3 linked regions of the Rhinolophus ferrumequinum genome follow. The protein of the gene in region 3 purifies or fractionates together with the protein of the main gene of each other region. This does not show direct contact. Links are inferred from orthologs where the notes say so. Each region holds a gene or a part of one and is shown on either strand. Other genes may lie near its edges.

Evidence for each region. Proteins that work in one complex are often made in the same cells at the same time.
Region 1: the proteins of SIRT1 (region 3) and HIC1 purify together in Homo sapiens (affinity purification with western blotting; 4 studies listed by BioGRID and IntAct, with this or other methods). This does not show direct contact. The link is inferred for Rhinolophus ferrumequinum from reciprocal best matches to the Homo sapiens genes SIRT1 and HIC1.
Region 2: the proteins of SIRT1 (region 3) and ZEB1 purify together in Homo sapiens (affinity purification with western blotting; 4 studies listed by BioGRID, with this or other methods). This does not show direct contact. The link is inferred for Rhinolophus ferrumequinum from reciprocal best matches to the Homo sapiens genes SIRT1 and ZEB1.

Annotation. Positions count from the first base shown.
Region 1 is NC_046304.1:15,995,258-16,002,372, forward strand, and holds the start of HIC1 (hypermethylated in cancer 1 protein), read right to left. Parts: upstream 2,875-7,115; intron 2,586-2,874; coding exon of another isoform or gene 2,498-2,585; intron 2,074-2,497; coding exon of another isoform or gene 1,949-2,073; intron 1,431-1,948; 5' UTR 1,411-1,430; coding exon 1-1,410. Other genes in the region: uncharacterized protein LOC117012891, read right to left, coding at 1,949-2,073, 2,498-2,585, 2,875-3,297. UniProt on the Homo sapiens protein: Transcriptional repressor. Recognizes and binds to the consensus sequence '5-[CG]NG[CG]GGGCA[CA]CC-3'. May act as a tumor suppressor. Involved in development of head, face, limbs and ventral body wall.
Region 2 is NC_046288.1:2,887,967-2,895,237, forward strand, and holds the start of ZEB1 (zinc finger E-box-binding homeobox 1), read left to right. Parts: upstream 1-4,220; 5' UTR 4,221-4,283; coding exon 4,284-4,341; intron 4,342-5,246; exon of another isoform or gene 5,247-5,351; coding exon of another isoform or gene 5,352-5,361; intron 5,362-6,158; exon of another isoform or gene 6,159-6,525; coding exon of another isoform or gene 6,526-6,532; intron 6,533-6,659; exon of another isoform or gene 6,660-6,836; coding exon of another isoform or gene 6,837-6,852; intron 6,853-7,271. UniProt on the Homo sapiens protein: Acts as a transcriptional repressor. Inhibits interleukin-2 (IL-2) gene expression. Enhances or represses the promoter activity of the ATP1A1 gene depending on the quantity of cDNA and on the cell type.
Region 3 is NC_046299.1:46,617,799-46,625,745, reverse strand, and holds the start of SIRT1 (NAD-dependent protein deacetylase sirtuin-1), read right to left. Parts: upstream 3,084-7,947; 5' UTR 3,024-3,083; coding exon 2,618-3,023; intron 2,488-2,617; exon of another isoform or gene 2,392-2,487; intron 1,256-2,391; coding exon 1,139-1,255; intron 1-1,138. UniProt on the Homo sapiens protein: NAD-dependent protein deacetylase that links transcriptional regulation directly to intracellular energetics and participates in the coordination of several separated cellular functions such as cell cycle, response to DNA damage, metabolism, apoptosis and autophagy.

The DNA.
Region 1 (7,115 bases), on a different chromosome or scaffold from region 3:
ACCGCCTCCAAAAGGGGGCCCGAGGCCCGCAGCCCCAGCAGCTACTTCAGCTGCCTCGGCCCTGCCATACAACGCCTCCTCCTCCTCCACGTGCGCTTCCACGTGCGCATTCAGCTGCTCTGAGCTGGGGAAGCCCTTGCCACACGGGATGCACACGTACAGGTTGTCACCGAAGCTCTCAGGCTCTCCATAAGCCAGATGCGGGCATGGGTAGCCCTCGAGGTGGCCGCCAGGCGGGCTGGGGTCCTCGCTGCTGCCCGTCTCCTCGCTGCTGCTCTTGTAGTCATCACCGTCGCCTCCCGCGCCAGGCCCGTCCATGCTGCCCGGATAGCGCGGTGGTGGAGCCAGGCCGAGCGGGGGCCCCCCGGGCGAGGATGCCGGGTCCCCGCCGCGCTCCTCGCAGCGCTCCCCTGGGGACCCCCGCTCCCGGCCCAGCTCGTCGCCATAGCTGCCTAGGCCTGGCTCGTGCTTCATCCAGCGGTAGAGGAGGCTGGGCCCGTCGGGGCGGCCGGGGGGCTCGGGTCCTGGGCTGCCGCCGCCGCCACGGAACGGGTCCGGAGGTGCTACAGCCTCCTCCAGCTTTTGGAAGGGCAACGGTGGCAGTGGAGGCAGAGAAAGCGGTGGTTCCTTGTAGGCTGCGGGGCCGGCGCTGGGAGGGCTGTCTGGGCGCGGGGGCAGCTCGCGCTCACCAGGCGGCCGCTCCGGAGGCGCGGAGCCCGATGGGCTTTTCTTGGACAGGTCCAGGCCACAGAGTGGGGAGCAGCGGCGCTCCGGGGCACAGAGTGCGGCCGCCGGGCCGGGGCCGGAGGCGTACAGTTCTGCGCAGTGCGTGTTCACTGCGGCTTCGGGACCCGACGGCGGCTCAACGCTGGGCGGCGGCGGAGGCCCGGCTGGGGACGAGTAGCAGGCCTGGATGACCGGCGTGGCAGCCCGCAGGCCGCGGCCTGGCCGCCCGTAGGGTGCATAACCACCGCCGCCGCCGCCGCCGCCCCGCAGGTGGCAGTACTTGCCGTGGCGTTTGAGGCGCTTCTTGCACAGCGCCACGAGGTCGGGGATCTGCAGGTAACTGGCCGCAGCCAGCACGGCGCCCAAACTCGGCTCGGTCCCCGGAGCTACTGCCGCCGCAGCAGCAGCCTCTGCGCCATCAGCCAGGCGGCCGGTGTAGATGAAGTCCAACACCAGACGGAACACGGCTGGGCTCACCATGTCATGGTCCAGGTTGAGCAGGTTGTCATGCACCACCAGGGACTTGAGGTAGGCGCTGCTGGCCGCCAGAACGTTCTTGTGCGCGCGGAAGAGGGCGTTCTGCACCACGATGATCACGTCGCACAAGAAGCCCTTGGTGCGCTGGTTGTTGAGCTGCAGCAGCAGCTGCCTCGAGTGGCCGGGAGCCTCCATCGTGTCCAGCATCCTCTGCCCAGCACAATCTCCTGCGGGGACACACACCAGCCGGTTCAGAGCCGCACCGAGCCCTCGCTGCTGGTCCCCAGCCCGGCGCGTCTCCCCTCCACTTTCCCTTCCCCTCAGCTAGGCACGGGCATCGAGCACCGTGGCCTGGGCACTGGCGGAGGATCAGCGGCCTCTGAGTGTGGGAGCCTGGGCCGGAGGCCCAGACCAGAAGAAGGAGCAGGAGAGTGGCTGGTGGAGAGGAGGCCAGGCTGGCCTGCACCCCAGGCCCGGAGGTACCGGGCACACAGGCTGGCTTCTGGGGGGCTTCCAAGGAGAAAACTGTTCGGGCGAAGTGACCCTTTCGGAGACAGTTACCCGATTTGAGGGAAATGTCCGCTTCAGGAAAAGTCATTCAGGGCCGAGAAGTTTGCCCAAGTGGGATCTAAGGCAGACGAGTGAAAACCGCCTCCCGCCTCGGGAGAAGTTGCCCCAGTTGGGGGAAGTGATCCGGAGGAGGGGAGCGCCGTGGCCGCCGTGGCGCCGCCCTGGCCGGGGGCTGTCAGGCCCTCAGTTGGGGCCCGGGCGGCGGCCGCGGCACCAGGAGAGGAGGCAGCGGCTGCCGTGGCGGGCAGAGCACGAAGGCCGGGCCCCGGCGCGGGGAGGGCGTTATATCGGGGCAGGAGGCTGAGGCAGGAAGCAGGTGGGGGGGAGGGGGGAGCCACGCAGCTCCCAGGGGAGGGAGGGGGCAGCGCCCCGGGCGGGCACGGCGCGCAGCCGGCTGCGGCCCTGACCTCGGCCTGCGCCCCACCCGCGTCCCGGCCGGGCCTCGGCCTTAGGTCTGCATTCGCAGACCGGCGCCACCCTCCCCAGCTCCCCTTCTCCGCGGGAACTCCGCCGCCCCAAACTTGGGGAAAAGTTTCCCAACTTCAGACAGGCCGGGAGGGGCGCACCAGCCCCAGTCCCCTCGGCTCCCAGCTTTTTCTCTCGCCCCCCATTTTGGCAGCCCGGCGACCGCAGGGCCTGAGTCGAGCCTTGAGCTACCCTGCCCGCCCGCTCGCCCGCCCTCCCCTGTTCCCCGCCTGGCCCGCAGGGCCTCGCGGCCCGTTACCTGCGGCCGCAGCCCGACCGGGCTTCCCTCCCCGCGGTGGTGGCAGCTCCTTGCCCGTGCCCCACCCGCCCCGCTGCCAGGCGCCGAACTGTGCCAGGGCAGCGCCCCTGCCAGCCCCGCCCGCCAGCTCCCCTTCCCTTCCCCTCGCCTCTCCAGCCCATGTGCGGGCAGAGCCGGCCGGGGCCGCTGACCCCGCCGTGAACCCGGCGCAGAACAGCGACCCTGTGGTCCTGAGTCCTCCAGGGGCGACACTCGGAGCTCCGAACGCCAGCCGCGTTGGGACGGCCGCGCCGGAGGATGCGCCCGAGGCGGTCAGCGCGCGAGGACCGGGCTGTCTAGGTCCCCTGTCCCTCCCGGTCCCCAGCCCGAGGACCCACCTGGGGGGCATGTCGGAAGCCCCGGGCCCGGCTGCCGGCGGATCCAGGGGGGACGTGGCTGCGCTGTGCTGCCCTCCGCCCGCCGGGCCCCCGGTCGGTCTGTCCTGCTGGTCCGTCCTCCCCACGTCCTGGTCGCGTCTCAGCCCCGCCGCGCTTTCCGCACACTCTTATCTGGAGCGGCCCGGGCCGGCGGGTTCTGCTGCAGTTATGGAGCCACCTCGCGGTCGCGCGGAGCTTTGCGCGACACAGCCATGACCTCCCTCTCGCGCACCTGGGCTGGAGGCTCGCAGATGCGGAGTTGGATCTTGCAGGGAGGCCTATTCGCAGATTCACCCTCCCGGATATGCCCGACTGGGAACCCAAGCTCCGGACCTGCGAGCCCCACAAACCCCGAGGTTTTGAGCTAAATGCTCCGGTGTACATATTTGCAGATTCTCACATTGCCCCAATTCGGAGAAGTCCTGCCCTCAAGGAGAAGACTCTGGTGACAGTAGATGGTGGGAGGGTGGTTACGGAAATCCTAAGGAAGAGGAAGATAGACAAGATCTTGGGGGACTCTACTTAGACATTCCTGGATGGGACTGTCCATTTGTAGCCACCCCCAAACACACATATCCTCATTCAGACACGAGTTAAAATGACACATGCACAGAATAAACCCGTTTGCACCCAGATCCTCTCCAGGTACTGACACCTGCGGGCGCGCAAATTTGCACAGATACACCTGCCTGCCCCCTTCCGGAGTCCAAGTCCCGGCTCTCTGTAATACTCTGGGGGCTGCCACGTAGGGCCCTCCGTTAACCTGGACAGACACGTTACCCAAACAGGCCACACTGAACTTGCAGATCTATAGAGGGGCCATAGGATATTCGACTGGGAATTGCTGGACAGTGTCTTTTGGGGATCCCACGGAAGCGAGCGCAGCCCCCAGATTCCCGAGTGAGCCATTTTGAGGGACCTGCTTGGACGATTTCATCTCCAACACACCGATCCGAGAGAAACGTGACAGGAGGGCCTGCAGCCCGGGATCCCCCGCAAGGTCCTGCACCCCGCGTGAAGGCCCGGTTCTTGTAGGTGACACCTCTTGTGGGAGGAAGGGGACCCCGCACTGGCGCACAGGCATTTGCAGGGTTACTCCGGAAGCGTCCCCGCGCAGCCCAGTAGCCCGCATCAAGCTGGTAGCGGCGCGGGGTCTCGCTGCGGCCCACGCTCCTCCTCCTCCCCGCACCTCCTGACCCCCGCCCACACGTGGGGGGTGGGAGTGGGTCCCTGAGAACGCCTGCAGCTGCTGATTGGCTGCGCCTTCCTCAGCTGCCTCGCTAGAGGCTGGGTCGCAGAGTTACCATAGTAACCGTTGAGGTTCGCCCAGATCGCGTCTCTCCAAGGCCTTGGAGAACATAACAACCGCTCAGGGCCGCTGGGCGGGTGGGGGCCATGCTCGCCGCCCCCCATGCGGCCCTCCGCCCCGATGCCCCGCTAGAGGTAGTGGCTGAATCACTCATTGAGGGGACGCCGGCGGTGCCATTCGCGGTCCCTGACGGACACCAAAGGCTCTGGCGCCCCCCAGAGGCTCCCTTTCCTCCACGAGAGACTTCATGGCCTCGGGGCCAGGAGGCGGCTCCTGGTCCCCGCAAGTCCCCATTCCTACCGCGGAGTCCGCCCTCACCCTGTTTCCAGTCTGTGTTCTGGATCAATCTTATCCTAATCCTCTCTTCTGTCTTCCCATGATGGCCTCACTAGGGAAGTAGTAACGTTCCAAAAATGAAAATGGGGTTCCTGAGCTGCAGACCCCTACCGCAGGGGGACGTGCTGTGCGCTGAGACGGAAAAGTGAAAGGAGTGCTGGAAAGAGGTGGGAAGGGTCCTCAGAAGTGCTCTTAGAACTGGGCTTTGATGGATGAAGAGGAGTTCTCCCGCCAGGCAGGAAGGCATTCTTGGAGAAGAGAACCTCTGGGAGGAAGCCTGGAGGCAAAACAAACAAACAAACAAACAAAAAACTCTAGTCAGCCAGACCCCAAAGAGTATGGAGGACCTCTCTAACCTTGTTTCTGCTGTAATCTTTTATCCTCTTGATGGGGTAAGATCCTAGCCTCACAAGTTGCCCCTCAGCTCTGTGTCTCTTTTGTGTGGTGGTGGATTCTGTCCACTGTGGACCCATGTGCCCACTATCCTTGTGTTTTTCCTTTTTTCAGATTTTATTGGGGAAGGGGAAGGGGAATTTATTGGGAAACATGTGTACTTCCAGGACGTTTCCAAGTCAAGTTGTTGTCCTTTCAATCTTAGTTGCAGGGGGCGCAGCCCACCATCCCTTGTGGGAGTCAAACTGGCAACCTTGTGGTTGAGAGGATGCTCTCTAACCAACTGAGCCATCTGGCACTGGCCCATGTGGGAATCGAACCAGCAGCCTTTGGCATTAGGAGCACCGAGCTCCAACCACCTGAGCCACCTGGCCGGCCCTCCTTGTCTTTTTTCAACACTCTACCTGGATCCCTGCTTTCCAAGTTAGCTCACTGCCCCAGCCCTTGTCCTTACATCTGTATGGGAGGGTCTCACAGATGCCCCAGCCTAGCTACCTTCCTGTGGGCTTCACTCTTCAGTCTTTGACCTTTCCCTAGTTCCACCTGCCCTGGCCTAGCACTGCCCCCTCCCCATCCCAATCCAGCTCCTCTCTTTCAATGCACTCCCCTTCCCTGATTGAGAGCCCATCTCAATTGATGGAGCTAGGGTGGACCAGGATCATTCGTTTCCCTGGTCCTCTCCAGAGGAACTCCCACCCACATAGCATGGGCCCTTCCTGCCCACTCTGATTTCCAGGAACTCGAACTCCTCTGCCCTGCCCCCCCCCCCAGACCTGTTTCTGCCAAGCTGCGGAGCCCTCACTCATTATCACCCCCATATGAGCTCTGTCAATGCCACCATTCCACAAATGGGTCCTAAACGTGGTCTGCAGTGCCAGGGTCTGACACTGACACTAGGGGACCTGTCCTCCTCTCTACCTGCTGAGGCTTCCTCTTCCTTTTGCCCCCCCTTCTCCTGCCATCTTTTCCCCACCTCCCCCACAGAGGACCCCCTTGCTCATTTCCAGCGAGTCCAAGCCACCCTCTTCAATTTTCTGCCTTCCCTCTTGTCTCCAGCTCCCAACTGATACCTGGACCCCCACTGGGCATTCCTTCCAGGCCCAGCCTCTTCCTACAAAGCCTTTCGAGATCCCTGAGTTTCCCTACTCTTCCCCTATCCACACCATAGCTCTAGGTGCTGCCCTAGCGCCCTCACCCCCGCCCCCTCCCACACACACTGGAGCTTCCTCTCCTGCCTCACTCCTCAGGGTGACAACACCGCAGTGACCATTGGAGTATAACGCCGCCGTGGGACATCTTGTGACGTCACAGAGCCTTCGGGTCCAGAAACTAAGGAGTAGGATTGGGTACTACCCGGTGAGGACCTTGGAAGGCTGGGCTGGAGTAGGGTTGCATCCCAGGTGTCGCAGAGTGAATAAATATGTAAGGGACCCGTCAGCCCCCCCGCATTATCCTCTCGCGGGTCCCCAGCCCGCAGTTCCGGAAAGTTAACCCCTTGTAGACCGGTACATGGGGCATGGGTTCCCGCCCCCCGTTCCTGCTTCCATGCACCCTCCTCCACCTCCCAGCTCTTCATCCAGCTCCTCATCGCCTCGGTCCCCACCCCCCTCGCCTCTATAAATAGCCCCTCTTCCCGTTTCCTAAATTCCCTGCTGACGTCGGCAACGCGTCAGTGTGTAGGAGCCGCGGCCGCATGAATGAGCCGCCGCACGAGTACTACGCGCGACTATAAAAGCCGCCGCGCCAGCCGGGCTGCAGGAGGCGAGCTGGCGCGGGCGCGACGCGGCCCGGCAGGTAAGCGAGACTGACCCACGGACGGGCGATAGATGGACGGATGCATGGACACGGACGGGAGAGCAACGAGGAGACCCGCAGGCAGCAGGTTGGAGGGCTCCTACGAGGTAGGGTTGGAGGCAGGGTGGGGGATGAGGGTTCCCTCACAGCTGGTTGAACCGGTACCGGAGGCGTACACAGAAACCCGTGCAGCACCTGCCTGCACCCAGATGGAGACGCAGCCACTTTGGAGGAGCATCGAACAGAAGATGGACCCCCGGAGACCCCGCGGCTTTTCCTGGGGCTTCTGCGCCATTCTCCCAAGAAAGTGGGGAGATGCTGGAGCCTCAAGAGACGCGCCCCCACCTCCCCTCCCCTCATCGCGGTGACT
Region 2 (7,271 bases), on a different chromosome or scaffold from region 3:
AGAGAACCAGCCAGCTGCTAAAAGAAGTTAAGATGCCAGAGAAAAATACATGAAGACAAAGTGGGGAAAAAAACAATAGAAACAGGTATCAGCCCTCTGATATCATGGTGAATACTAAAAATTTACTCAAATATAAAATATGCAAGTTGCTCTCTCTCTAGCACAAATTATCTATAATTGTTTAGTATAGAAAAAATGCTGTTCATGTTCATGTGTGATATCAATATTAGCAACTATAATCTACTGTGGAATTGAAAGCAATTTGTTTTAACTACTGTAATTTTATGAAAAAGATTAGTTTTATTTTTTGGATGTTCATTAACCTCCTTCAAACCTCTCTATTTTTCTACTTACATCTTTCCATATTAGACATCTTCCTGAAAAATTGCCCCCCAAATAAGAAGTTCCATGTGTTAACATTTCATTGACTTATATTAAAAATAGGAGCCTTGTTCCCCAGAGGGGGAAATACCATTTTGTTGTGCAATAGATAATAAAATCACATGGAGGTCTGGGGAAAACATTTGTCCCTATTATTCCCTCCTGGGAGGCTATATCATGGGTACTAAAGACAACTGTCGGTTCTGCATCACCCTGTAGTCATATTTCCTTCCTGCCTCAGTCATTGCAGAATTTGGTGAAACTGCAGGCAGCGAAATTACGACTGCCCTCTTTTGTTTCATTGTGAACCACACACATATCCAGAGTCACTATTGAGCCAAGGATTGAGGAACAACTTTAGGGGATTCTAAACTCTATACTTTGACGGAAAACTGGTATCAAATGTCTTTTTCCTTCAAGCACTAATATTAAAATCACATGTTAACGTAATTAACCTAATTAACATAATTAATGTTATCCTTCCATGAAAATAACCAACTTTTTTATTTTTATGAAGATTGTAGAATGATGTAAGTTATACTTGTCAAATGTGTTCAGGAACTTAGGTACATGGAAATCAGACGCAATGTGGAACACCATGGAATATCTACATTTGAAACTTAAAATAATTTTATGTCAAATTTTACCCTCACTTACACATGAATCTCATATGGAAAGCAAATAGCAGGTGCAAAGGGTTCATGAAAAATTTATAGGAAAAACTCAATACTGAAAATATTCTACCCATTTACATTTTTTCCTGTAAATTTAGAAAAGATTACAGTAATTCATTTTCAGCAGAATACCTCTTCTTCAGCATATGCAATCTCAGTGCTCACTAGAAGTAATGTGAACATTTCACTGACATTAAAAATAGTATATATTGAATAGCATATATCGTATGATGGCACTACAATTGCTAAAATCCAACAATACAGAATACACATTAAACTCTTATTAGTATCCTACCATGTTTGATTTAAATAAACCTAAATTCTAATAAATTTATTCCTTTTCTAAATGTATTTTAAAGGCTTTTTCCAATTTTTTAGTTATATTTAAGAGATAAGTGCTATCACAAATGCTTCAAGTTTAAAGCAGCAATTTATTCTGAGATTTACTTTTGTCTGCTTTCTTTCAAGTCCAGATTTCAATAACTTGGGGAACATTTACAATAAAGTATATTAATCAAATATTCAGTTTATAATATACATGATTACAGGACTTTATAAAATTGAAATTTTGTATAGGAAGAGTTGGAATATCAATAGTATTTCCTGTACATATTTTTAAAATAGGAGTGAATTGAGTTAATAATTTGGGAAAAATGATTATGCAGAATCTAAAATCAAGACCAATTAGTCTCAAAATAAGACAGGATATAAATGACAGTAAACAGCTTTTTATGTCCATGATTTCAACTGCTCCTACGAACAAATGTGATGAAGGTAAATAAACAATCCTTATTTTATAGCCAAGAACAGATTCTGAAAAGATCAACAGTATTAATTTATTTTAAAAAATATTTACTTACTGAGCATCTACTATGTGACTAGGTATTCTGCTAGGTGTTGAGGACACAGGCATGAACAGAATAATAAAATAATAATAATAATAATAATAATAATAATAATAATAATAATAATGAATCTGTTCACATGGAGTTAAATAAGTCTGGCCCAAGCTAAGTAAACCAGTAAGCACTGAGGTATGGAAGAAAATGACTTCTACTTTGTGCCTGAGTCCCTTACACTTTATCTCTGATTTCAAGGTGAGGATGAACACTGAAGGAAACTTAGTAGGGAGGTACAAGACAGGCAGAAAGAGAAAACAGCATGTGATGTTTCCTAAGTTTAAGAGTAAATCAAATGTATGCTAGAATTAGAAAGTATTTTTTTTTTTACTGGAAATTAGGGTAACTGTAAAAATGTTGTGTTTGTTGGGGAGGGGGCGGTGTTGGCAAAGGACAAATTCTATAACCTGATTCAGAAGGCAAATAAAGAACATTACACAGTTATAAAAAAGTAGGAAACTTACCACTTGAATAAAGCAAAGCATGGACACCTTTCTGGTTCTAACATGCCCAAGTTCAGTTAACATGGTATTGAGGAAAGGGAGAATTGCCTGTACTTAAATGATCATAAAGAATAATGAGTAGTTTTGGCACTGAGGACGAGAGTAGATATATAGACATAATATATAGCAAAGAATATTTACAGTCACATTTCATGCACCAATAAATAATGTATTCACTTCTCAAAGTCCCAAAGCAAACGTGAGTGAGAAAATTTTCATCTATACTCATATTCAGGATTAAACTTTCTAATATTAAATTACTAGACTTCAGCTGTAAATTTCAGTTGAAAGGTTTGAAGAGATTATTAATGAATCTTCTAAAATTCTGGAGCGTGTTTAAAAGATTATTTTAACATAATAAAGAATCTTGCCATAGGTATGACAAAAATTACAGGCATACATTTATGAGCACCTACCGTGAGAGCACTGTGCTGGGCAACTTTATTTCTAGTACTCTACGTGTCATGTTTCAGGTTTCTCAATTTCTCTACCAATAATTCGTATATTGTTAATTTATAACTATATTATTTGAAATACAGCTCAGCTCATTTCATAAAATTGGTCCCAAAGACTTTTCCTTATTTGAAAGGGAGGGGGGGAAGAAGTGGAAAGCTAAATCCTACTGACTACTTCAGACTTGACTTCCTTGGTATTTGTGGTGTTATCTATACGGTCTTTTAGACATCCCCCAAATTTATACCAAGTCAGGGACTTGAGATGAGATCAGCAATCTATCAGTCTCAAAGACCGCATTTGTGAGCCATGCTTGTTGCCTTAACGTCCTATATACAGGTAACTACCCATTTAGATGGTAAGTCACGGCCTGTTAATAGCTTAACTTTGACTCTTGACGCCCAAGATCTCGTGGGACTACTCTAAGGGGAAAGCCCAGAGGACCGCTCAGAGCAGGGAGGCTGGGCGGGGGGCAGGCGGAGGTGACAGGTGAGTCTGGTGTGGATGAGGAAGTGAGACAGGGGCAGTGTGGGTATTACTCATTTTGCTTCCCCGCCGAGCTGGCTTGCAAGCGGAACTTCTAGCCTCTCTTTCGGTCCAGCTGAAGTTCTATCTAATTGAAGTCACTTCCCATCCCAGTTCCCTGAGGGGAAAACCATGCGTGTAATGGAAGGGAGTCAGAGCGGCGGGGCGGGGGTCAGGTAGCCTCTCTCGTGAAGCCGTGCGTCCTCGCGGTCAGAGGCTGAGCTTCCCAAAACAGTCCTTCACCGTTCCCGAACCTGCCCTTCTCCTAACCCGGGCAACTCCCGGGGGAGTCCGGGGCACGACCCTCTGCGGAGCCCCGGGGTGCGCAGAGCGGACGAACGCTGCGTGGGAGCGGAGCCTAACCTTGAGGAAGAGGGAAGACAGGTTGTTCCGGTTACTCTGAGGACACAAGGTCCCGACTAGAATCGGTCAGACCCGTACGAGCCCCAAGCATTCGCGGCGGGTGTGGCCAGTTCACAGGCAGAACGCGGCGGAACCTCCTCCTTTACCTTTCTCAGTCTGACAGCCTGTCGCCCGTCTGACCAGGTCCCCACAGTTTCCCAATGTCTCCCTCCCCCATCCCAAGACACCTGAGGGAAACTTTTCCCTCGGCCCTCAATTCAAACACAGCTGTTTCCAGTGTTGCCGCAAACCGTCTTCTCCCTAGCAACAAGGTTCCGGCCGTAGAGCGAGCGGCTCTAGGTGTAAGGAAGGTGATGTCGTAAAGCCGCGAGTGTCGTAAACCAGGTGCGGTGGGGAGGGGGGAGGGGTGGAGGCGGAGGGGTGGGGGGGAGGAGGGAGGGAGGGGGAGGAGGTGACTCGAGCATTTAGACACAAGCGAGAGGATCATGGCGGATGGCCCCAGGTGTAAGCGCAGAAAGCAGGCGAACCCGCGGCGCAATAACGGTGAGTGGCGGAGGGGACCGGGGAGCGGCGGAGTCAGGGGGAGCCGGGCAGCCGGGGCGCCCCGGAGGTGAGGGGGGCGAGCCGGGCTGGGGGCGGCCGGGGCAGGGACTGGCAAAGTGGAGTGGGAAAGTAGAAAGTAGTGCTCTCTGCCCCCCTCCGCTGCCGGAGCCGCGCCGCGGCCGCTCGCTCTCCCTGAACCGTTATGTCTCTTACCTGGTCTCTCTCCGCCTAGCGGCTCCTGCCGCCCCTGCCGCCTCCCTGGACCGTTAGCCGGCGCCGCCGCATCCCCGGCGCAGGGCGAGCGGTCGGGACGCGGCGGCCACTTTTCTGGTCCCGGGTGGAGAGGCTGTTGCTTCTTTTCTCACTTTTCCCCACTCTTCTGCCCCTCGCGCCTCCCCGCTCCCCCTCCTCCTCAGCCCCCTCCGCCGTATTCTCCCTCAGCGCCGAGGCCCCCGGGAGCCGGGAACTAACTTGTGCCGGCGCTGGCCGTGCAAAGTGGCTTCCGCGCGTCGCGGCCCCAGCCCGCGCCGTCGCTTGGGCCCCGCGGCTCGGGCAGGGTGGGTCGGCTGCGGGCGCGCGGCGGGCGATGGGACGCGGTGGCCCGGCTGCGTGTCGTCCGTGCGCGCGTGTGCGCGGGCGCCGGCGGGGCGCGCCGCGGGCGGACGGGGCTCAGCCCGCTGCTGTAAAGTTGTGACCGGCCGGCGCGCTCGCGGAGTGGGGATTAGCGGCGGAGGCGCGGGTCCCTAAGTGCCCCTCCTCCCCCGCGCCCCGGCCACCGCGCCCTGGGCCGCCGAGGCAAGCCCTGCGAGTGAGGTCCACGTCCTGTGGGGCGCTGGTGGGGCGGCAGGGACGGCGGGGCAGCAGCGGGCGCCTACTTGCTGCTGGGGGCGATCTGTGGATGGCGGCGAGCCGGGCAGCGGGTGTGTTTGTGGAGTTGTTACCTGGTTAGAGACAGGAAAGCACCACAGACAGAGCTCCCTCCCCGGGGAAGACTCCTTCTCCGCGCTGGGATGGGGCTGTGTGCGTACGCCTCTCTCTTTTCTCTTTCGGTTTTTGGGGAAGTTGTTACCTGAGCCGGACGCTCGGAGCGCTGAAGCCGGATAATGGAGCTTGGATGGCGCTCGCGGACTCGGGTGGAAAGGGAGTGGGGGAGGGGGAGGGCGAACTGACGGACGTGCGGGTCGGCTGCTCGCTCTGCAGCTGCAGTGTTTATTGATCTGTGCTGATGTGCCGGGGAAATACACACCCCTCGGCCTGGCGTGAGAGTTTTAAATAAATAAAGAGAGAGACAGAGAGAGAGAGAGCGAGAGAGACCCGAACATGTGGTTGTTGTTGCACATTGGCCTTTTCCAGTTTGGAGAGACGTTGTAAGTTGATTGTATTTTTGCTTATCTCAGGGGCGATTCTGTGCTTTCTCTCCCCCCTGTTCAGCAGCGAAATGTCTGCTGATTGTTATTGTCTGGACAGTTCCTGTGGCGAGAGGGGCAAGACTTGTCCGCCCGGGGGCGGCAGGAGCTCGGGGAGAGGCCCCCGCCCGCCGGCCGGGTACCTGTTTGTATAATAATGGGCGGCAACGGCTCTGCCGCCGGCTGCGGCCCAGGCTATATAAGGAATTACACGTACATTTGGACCGAGGGGCTTGTCTGGGTTCCTGCGTTATTTTTAAAACGAGTTTTTAAGAGTAGGGAAATAAATGCGCCTATAATGGAATCACTGTATCTTCCAGAAAATGAGGAAATATGTGTTTAAGTAAAAACTCTCGCGATCCCCCCGCCCCCTCCCCCGCGCCCGGCCTCTCTTTCTCCCTCCCCTCTGGGATGCGAAACGCGAGGTTTTGTAACCTTTCCTGGCAATTTTAGATTTTGTGTGGGATTTCCTGTCTAGAAGCAGATACGAAGGTTTTAAGCTGTTTCAAGATGTTTCCTTCCAATCGTAAACATTTTAATATATTTGAACCAACATTAAAATCACTGCTTCCACGAATGATTGTAGTTATTCAAATGTTTGCATTTAAAAGCATCAAACAATTATGATCGATAACTAATATGTTGTATCCTCATTGTGAGAGATGACTTGTTACAGTAAGGAGCAGAGCATAGGCTATTGCAATTTTAATTTCCTGTTTTAGCGTCAAATACTGTGTGTTCTGTATTGAGCTGTTGCCGCTGTTGCTGATGTGGCTTTATGAAAGGTAAGTTGGTTCAGAAAGGGTTGTTCGCTTTTTACCTTATTTAAAATGTTCATCGCCATAGAAAGGGGCTTTTCTTGTTGCTGACGACATGTGTGTGACATGTGAGTCTGAACCACCCAGCGTCTGTGCAGCTGCTGTAAACATGTTTACCTGAGCAGGAAAGAATGGATTTTTCTCCTAAAGATCCTGCGATGTGAATATTACACCCATAAGGCATATCAACAGATGACTTAAGGGGGAAAAAAGCTATCCTGAAAGGTACTTGAAATCAACAGGAAAAAGAGGTTCTCGGTCGCTGCAGCAAATGGCAACTTGTGCAGGTAGAAAAAAGATGGTGTTTAGTTTTCTCCTGTATGTATGTCAGCCCCCTCCTGTCTGCTGCTTTCATTCTCAAGGGAGGGATTTATTTACCACGCTTACTGTCAGTGTTTTTCCTTTGTTTTTAATATTAGAAAAACAGATTTGGGGCTGCTTAGCACAAAATGTCTTGTCTGCAGTATGCATTACTCTGAGAAAACAAAAGGTGTTTAAGATAGCACTATACTACTACAGGTATCTTCCATTTTCGTCACTTTTGGCTCTGTCCTTGTATTTCTTTTTGTTCTCAAATGCATTTCATCCATTGCTGATGATTACTGTCGTGCTATTTGATTAAGCCTTATAATTTGCAAATTAAAAATGAAGTTATATATGCCATTGTGTTATGAAACCTCAGGGTAGGTGCTGGTTAATATTTCTT
Region 3 (7,947 bases):
TTCTCATTACATCCTCAGAGCTAATGCTATATCCCAATGAAATAGGGAGAGCAAATCAAGAGTAAGTCTGCCCCTCAAGCTATGTATTTTAGGAGTCAAACTAATTGCCAGAATTAAATTTCAATCATTAAAATCCAGAAATACACACTGTAATTAATAACACGAATATGTACAAAAGGGTTCTCCAAATCAATATAGGATAGATCTTACCAGTCCCGAAATCCCATACTGTTTATCATTAAAGACATAGGGAAAAAGAAAAGGATATCTAAATATCTACCTAAAATAAATCTATACATAACTACTATCTTTTAAAATTTTTCCAGTAATAATCTTCAATTTGATCTTAATCAATCTCCCAAAATGATACACACAGTGCTGGTTTTGAGCATTAATATTTTTTCGCCTGGCATTTCTTAAATCAGTATCCTAGCTTGAAAAAAACCAAAAATATAGTAAATATTATGGATCCTAAAAAGGAACTATCCATCACTATATTTAAATAGTCAAGAATGAGAGCACATTAAGAGAAAGATCACTTTCAAGATGGTCATGTTATAACTGGTAATAAAAATCTGAATAGTGTTCTCTATTTCAAAATACTTTCCCATTTTATCCACATACTTAATACGGATTCACTGAACACAAATTATGTGCCAGGCACTTACCTAGGTACTAACAAAATAGTACACAAATCAGTCAAAAATCCCTGCCCCCAACTGGTTTCCGAGTATATTTTAGTATATGAAACACAATAAAAAAGTTAAGATACAAAGCTTGAGAAGTGATGATGTGTTAAGAAAAAAATGAAGAATGGATAGGAAGTGAGGAAGCAAGATACTCTAGAGGAAGAGCATTCCACACTGAGTACCAGCGAAGAGGACCCAAGGACCCAAGTTGTGAGAAGGACCTGGTTGTTTGAGAAATACCAGAGGCCAGTTTCCATGGGCCTGAGCTGTTTAAAAATAAAAACAAAGCACTAGACTTTCCCTAGAAAAATAAGCTGACATTAAATCCAGCAAGCACCTAAGGAACCTAATAACTAGGTTATAAGGGGGCAGAGAATTATATTTTTAGTTGGCGTTAAAATTAAAACAAAGAAAAAGACATTTACTTTCTAAAAGCTGTGGAACCATACCTATCCGTGGCCTTGGAGTCCAATCACTAGAGCTTGCATGTGAGGCTCTATCATCCTCATCACTTTCACAGGAATGAAAACCATTGGTGATTATTTCATCACCAAACAGAAGGTTATCTACAAAAGAAACCAAAAGTAACTCAAAGCTACTGAAACAGTCTGCATCTAAAATATATGAAGATCTACAGTGGTTATGATGCAACAATTTTCAATGAATGAAGCACTTAACATTCATATTGCCTGTGTAAAGAATGCCTACTAGGTCTGCTTGCACCGTTCATAGGCACAGTATATATCCTCATCTTTAGGGATTCTGCCCACAATCTAAAAGTTTCAGTTCACACAAAAATCTAGACATAAGTTTACTTAATCAAAACACAAGAAGTACTAATCTAGTTAGACTGAATTTATCAATCACAAATAATAGAGCTCATGAAACTTGTCAAATAAAAACCAAAAAAATTTGTTCCAAGTAACTAGGGCAATCTGCACTTCTCTTATAAAATACTAAACATACAAAGATAACTTTGCATTATTCATTTTCCCTATTCGACTGTTTCTTGAATGAGGTCTTCTTATTAATCAAGTCTCTAATGCATGTTACCTTTAAATACAGTCCAATGGTCCATTGATTAAATTTACTGATACAAATGATGAAGAGCACATCTATCCAGGACAGAAACTCCTCACATCGAAAATATGAAATCCTCAAAGATGACATGACATATACAACTAACACATCTGCTTTAGTATGCCAAAATATGTCAGTCGTATTTCAGGGTTACATATACACACAATAAAGGATTATACCTAATCCTAAAACTATTTTAAGAACATGATTAGAGGAAAAATACTATTCAAAGTACTGTCACTCTTCTACGTCCACTATTAATTGCACCACAAGAGTAATGTCTTTAGAAACAGCTAAGCTCTTCAAAATTTGGAGGCTATTACATTAGAAATAGCTTTGCTCTTCCAATTTCAAGACTAATTTAAAAATAAAGACCCTCCCCCCAAAAAGTCACAAATTGCACAGGTGTCAATTTGCAAAGACAACTGCAAAAAGTCGGTGCAAGGGATAAGCAAAAGTTGCAGATTTAGGAGTGCTGGGGGCTGGGATGAAGGGTGGGAATGATGTTAAATAAAAGCAATATGCTAAAAAAGTAGGAGGGGAAAGAAACTTATTTTAAAACCTGCGAGAGCTTCCCCGCCCGGCGGCTGCGCAAAGCGCGAGGCCGCTAAGGCGGGCCGCGGACTAAGGGACGGACGGGAGGGAGGGAGCGAGCGAGTCCGCAGGCCGCTCCTGCAACCAGGCCGGCAGCCCCGGAGGCGCGCAGCTGAGGGCCGTGGTAAGGAGAGGGTCGCGGCAGAATCAGCCCTGAGCCCTTGCCCACCCGAGACCCCTCCACCCCACACCAGGAGGGGCCCCGGGAGAGGGAGGAGGGAATGCGCAGTCCCAGCCGCCCGCGCCCTGCGCACCTCGGTACCCAATCGCCGCCGCCTCTTCTTCCTCCTCGCCCTCGTCGTCGTCGTCGTCGAAATCATCGGCCGGCGGTGGTTCCAGGGATAGGCCCTGTAGGCCCGGCCCATTGTCTCCTCCGCCCGCCGCCGCCGCCTGGGCCTCCCGCTCCCCGCCCGCCGTCGCCGCCGCCGCCTCCCGCCACAGCGCCGCCGCCGCCGCCGGGCCGCCCCCGGCCGCCGCCAGTACCTCACGCTCTGGGGCCGCCCCATCGGGCTCGCCCGGGCTCCGCCCGAGGCCGGGGCCGTCTCTCCGCGGCCTCTTGCGAAGCGGCTCCCCGGCGGGCGGCGACGCGGCCTCCCTCTCGGCCGCCACCGCCGAAGGGGAGCCACCGGGCTGAAGGGCGAGCGCCGCCTCGTCCGCCATCTTCCAACTGCCTCTCTGGCCCTCCTTCCTCACCTCCTCTGCTCTCGCTCGACTCGCGGCAGTGGCGCCCCCGCGGCTCCGGCTGCGGGAGATTTAAACGCTGTCACGTGACCCACCTCTCGCCGCCTCCGCCCTCCCGCGGCTCCCGCCACCCACGCGGGCCTCACCACAACACGGTGGGTCACGTGGCGGGCGGAGGCGGCGTGGGCCGAGAGGAAAAGCCGCAGGAGCTGCTGCGGCCCCACCGCTTGGCTTCAGGCGCGTGATGCAGCCAAACTCGCCCGTTTCTCAACTTGTCTTTCAAACCGTCCTGAAGTCACTGCCGCTGGCACGGCTCAAATTTTGGTTCACACTGCGGGTTTCCACTTCTGTCTGAAGTGCTCACCTCGCTTGTTCTAGATTAAGGGTTAAATCGTAGTTCCTGAGAGGCAATAAGGAATGAAGCTGGCCAAGGTTTAGCTCCCTCAAGTGTGTTGGATAGTCTCCTTGTTAGGGGTATGAGTAGAAGCAGAAGGACACAGTTCACTCCTCACACCATTCTGACAGCTCCTCTCTCTCCTTGCTTCTCCTCTTAGCTGATGGCTTCTCCCCCTACTCTCCACTTGTAGTGTAGTGTAAGTTGTAAAATCCCCAATGGTATGTGTCACACACACACACACACACAACTCCTTTGACAAATGTGTGGGTGTTCCCTTGAGCGGGCTTCGTTAAAATGAGTGTATTGGGTCAGGTGAGGCAGCATAAGGAGAGTGCGGGATGAGCATGACTTGGCCCCTATACACATCTGGGTTTCGGTTGCAATTGGAGATTCTTCCCTTCTAGCTTGGTTTCATCGCTAAAAAATGGTAATACTGTTGTGGTGAGAATTAAATGAGATAGCCAGATGTAAAATGACGGGTACATGGTAGTTTAGAAAATAGTTCTTTCCCTACTTGTTGCCTCTCTATTTTCCACTTTCCCTGAAATTCCAGGACTCTGTCACTCCGTATCTAGCTTTCACTAGGGACCCATGTAATAAAATTTGGCAGGTTTGGAGTCAGTGTTTGGTAGGGTATCTGCCTCTCGCGCACTGGGTTTCTATCCGTTTACAGGACCTCTCCGAGCTTACAGTAAACCATCCCTTAAGCGTAATGTGGGTCCTGCCTGCCACGCCTATTAACTTGTGCGAACTTAGGCAAACAACTTGCTGTTTCTTCATTCTTAAAAAAAAAAATTACAATGTTGGAAATGTATCTCTGAGGTCCCATCTAAAGTCTTTGTACCTCAAATTAAGTTAGGAATCTCCCCTTACAACTGGTCACTTCTTTTCATTTCTGAAAGTGATCTCTTTCTTCCTGGAAGCCTTGGAATCATCTTAGAAGTGTTCCTTCGGATTGATGCCCTCTATACAATCAGTACCAAATCCTGTTCTTCCTTCCCTCCTATACTCTTTCCAATTCCTAATTACACAGGCACCTCATCCTTCCTGGCTGACGTACTTGGCCCTGTTGTCTCTCCACTTTGTCTATCTTATCCTACAAGATATTTTATATATTGATTCTCAACCACATTGGTGGGTTGTAATATATGAAATGTTGAGAGGCAGTATCCCATCAAAATAGAAACAAAATTCCCAGCTTTTCTGAGATAGACGTTTGTAAGCTTATGGACATTCTTTTACTTATATATATATTTGTGTGTGTGTGTACACATATATATATATTATCAAAGATACTTGCTGGTGTTTATGAAATGCTATATGATCACTAATGTGCTGAAATGTCAGAAATGGGGTACTCATGGCAAGTAGAATAAATGAGAGATAGAAATTGTATTATAAAACAAACGTAATTAGACTTCTGGTCTACCAGTAGTTGAGAACTAGTTGCCTGAAATTCAAGTCATTCTTTGTGCCTAAAGCTTGCAAATTTGTAATGGAGTGAAAGCTCGTACCACCACAGGACAGCCAGTAAGTCAAGTGATAAGGCGTTGGGGCAAGGGAAACGACTTTATTCAGAAAGCCGAGCAGATAGTGGACTAGAGTCCTAAAGGTTTCTCTTGAGAAGATAGAGAATGCAGGTTTCTTTTATGTCAGGGGAAAGGGGGAACAGGAGGGGTTTGAGGTCAGGATGTGACTGATGAGCTCAGACATCTGGAGGTCAGCAAGGGTCCAAGGGGGATGATGAAACTTCAAACTCTGGTTGCCGTGATCTTAGTCACAAGATTCCTATAAAAATTTTGATAAACAATATTTTTGTACATACCTTCCTTATCTCCTTAGGGAGGTAGTTTCAAGCAGGAAGGTTGTTTCAGTAAGTTCTAGGCTACAGGTTAGATGACTAGCATATCTACATGCAGGACTAAGCAGAAGTTGCTAACTAACACGTCAGGCACGAGCAAGATGGAGTCAGAAAGACCGATTATTTTATTTTATTACAAGTTCATATTCAGTTTTTTTAAAATCTTCCATGAATCTGGCCTAAGCCTTGTAAATATTTTTAGCATTAATATACTCTAAATTGAGCTTTTCATATTATTAAGCCATTTTTTTTTGAAATGAGGACACTCTTTAAGTTCTTGTATGGAATGATCTCCAAGCTGCACAGTGCAATATGTAGAATAGTGTATATAGTGTAGTGCTATTTGTGAAAAAAATAAAAGGGGGAGTGTGGAAGGAAGACCATATGTGTATACATGTATATATGTATGTATTTGCTTATATATGTACAAAATAACTCTGGAAGCATTTAAAATACATACATGCCTGCCATGTATTTGTCATACTTTTTTTGCCTATGCCTCTGTCCTCCCTATTCAGTACATTATAAAGCACATTCCCCTATTTTAGTCCTTAACTTATTTTTCTCTGTGTTTTGTTGACTTCCTCCCCCAACTACAGCAGGAATTTTGTTCATCTGGTTCAACTCTGTATCATTAGCTCTCTAGTGGAATAACTGGCACATATATGTGTATTTATTGAATGGAATAAATGAAGAATCTAAGTGAAGGTTTCCATATAGGAAAAGAATTATTGGCATAGATCCTAAAAAAAAAAAGAAAGAAGCGAAACAGGGAAATTCACTTTGTTCTCAGCACAGTTCAGGTGAGAAAGTTAGTAAAACATATGACATGTTTCTGATACTCTGTTTGACAAGGTGACATAACATTGGACTGTGAGGTGTTTTCCAACACCAACAACCAAGTCTCTGATTGTCCAGACACCAATTGTGTATTCAACAATTCAACTCAATTCTGACACTAACACTACCTGGAGTTAGTGAAGACCTCACAGTTTAGGGGCTAAGTCTCACAGGGCTACCCCACCTCAGATGCCAATAAGTCCCAGACCACCTGTACTTCTGATGAAGTGCATAGAAACTGGGAGTTCCCATGACATCCTTCTAAAGTTCAGTAATTGCCTAGAATGGCTCACAGAACTCAGGAAGATACATGACTTACATTTACAAAGTAAATGTATTTTCTGTATCCTTCCAACGGATACAAACGAACAGGCAGAGATGAAGAGGTACACAGGACAAGGTCCAGAAAGGTCTTGCACTTCTGTCCCCATGAAGTTGGGGCTTATCACCCTCCCAGTACATGGATGTGTTCACCAATTCAGAAGCTCTGAATCTCTTTGTTAAGAGTTTCTATAGAGTTCAGTCTCCAGTGTACCTGCCCCTTTCCCTGGAGGTTGGGAGTGGGGCTAAAAGTTCCCCCTTCTAATCACGTGGTCTTTCTGGTTTCTGGCCTCATCTTGAGGCTTTCTGGGGACCCCACCCTAAGCTACCTCACTAGCATAAACTCAGGAGTGGTGAAAAGAATAAAAGACCTTCTTATCATTAAGGAAATTCCAAGAGTATTAGGAGTTCTGTATCAGGAAGAGTGGACAAAGTGTTTATATTTTATTATATCAAAGGCTGTCACAGACTCAGACACTAGTCCCTAAAATTTTTAATTTGTTTTCTAGACCTAATCCCCCTGAGCAGCCTTCAACAGTAATTTAGTTTCCCATGTAGAATTACCCACTGGGGAGAAAATGGTCAAAGAGCCAACATTAATATTCTGGCTGACTTGAAATCTCTGTTTATGTAAACAAATAAATTGGCCTTATAGCTTTGGTATCAGTCTTATGTGACTACAATTAATGGAGAAGTTAGTATCAACTTTATGTACTAAAAAAAGTGGTATTGGCATAACTGGTTATTAATGTGGAAAAATATAAATACAGGTCTTACTTCACACTAGATATAAAAATAAATTCCAGGTAGATTAAAGATCTAAATGAAAAAATACAATAGAAATATAAGACATTTTAGTATATTATGTAACTTTTTATCAAGAAAGCTTCTTAAATAAGATAGGAGCCATTTAAAATATATATATTTGACACCATAAAAATTTTAAATGTGTTCTAATTTACTAGTCAGGGATATGCAAGTAAAACAATGAGGTACTATTTTTCATTCCTCAAATAGGCAAAAACAAAACAAATTTTATTGTTACCATCTCTCACCAGGATACAGGGAAACTTACACTCTCATACATTGCTGTCATAGCGTGGGAAAGTAATCTGAAAATATTTATTAAAATTATAAATATACATATACATTTCAATCCAAAATCCCATTTATCTTAAAGAAATGAAAATGCGAATATGTAGGATATGAATACAAGAATGTTTATTATGGCATTAATATTACTGGGAAAAAGTCAAGAAACAATCCAGATATCTTCAATAGTAAACCTGTTGATCAAATTATGGTGCACACGTGCTGTGGCACATTATGTAACCATTAAAAAGATCTGTTGTTTTGAGGAATGTGTATGATATATGAACATTTGTGAGACAAAAGCAAGTTGCACGAAAAATATGTATGTTATCATCTTTCATTATTTAATAAATATCCCCTTTATATTATTTAAAAAAAAAACTACACCTATA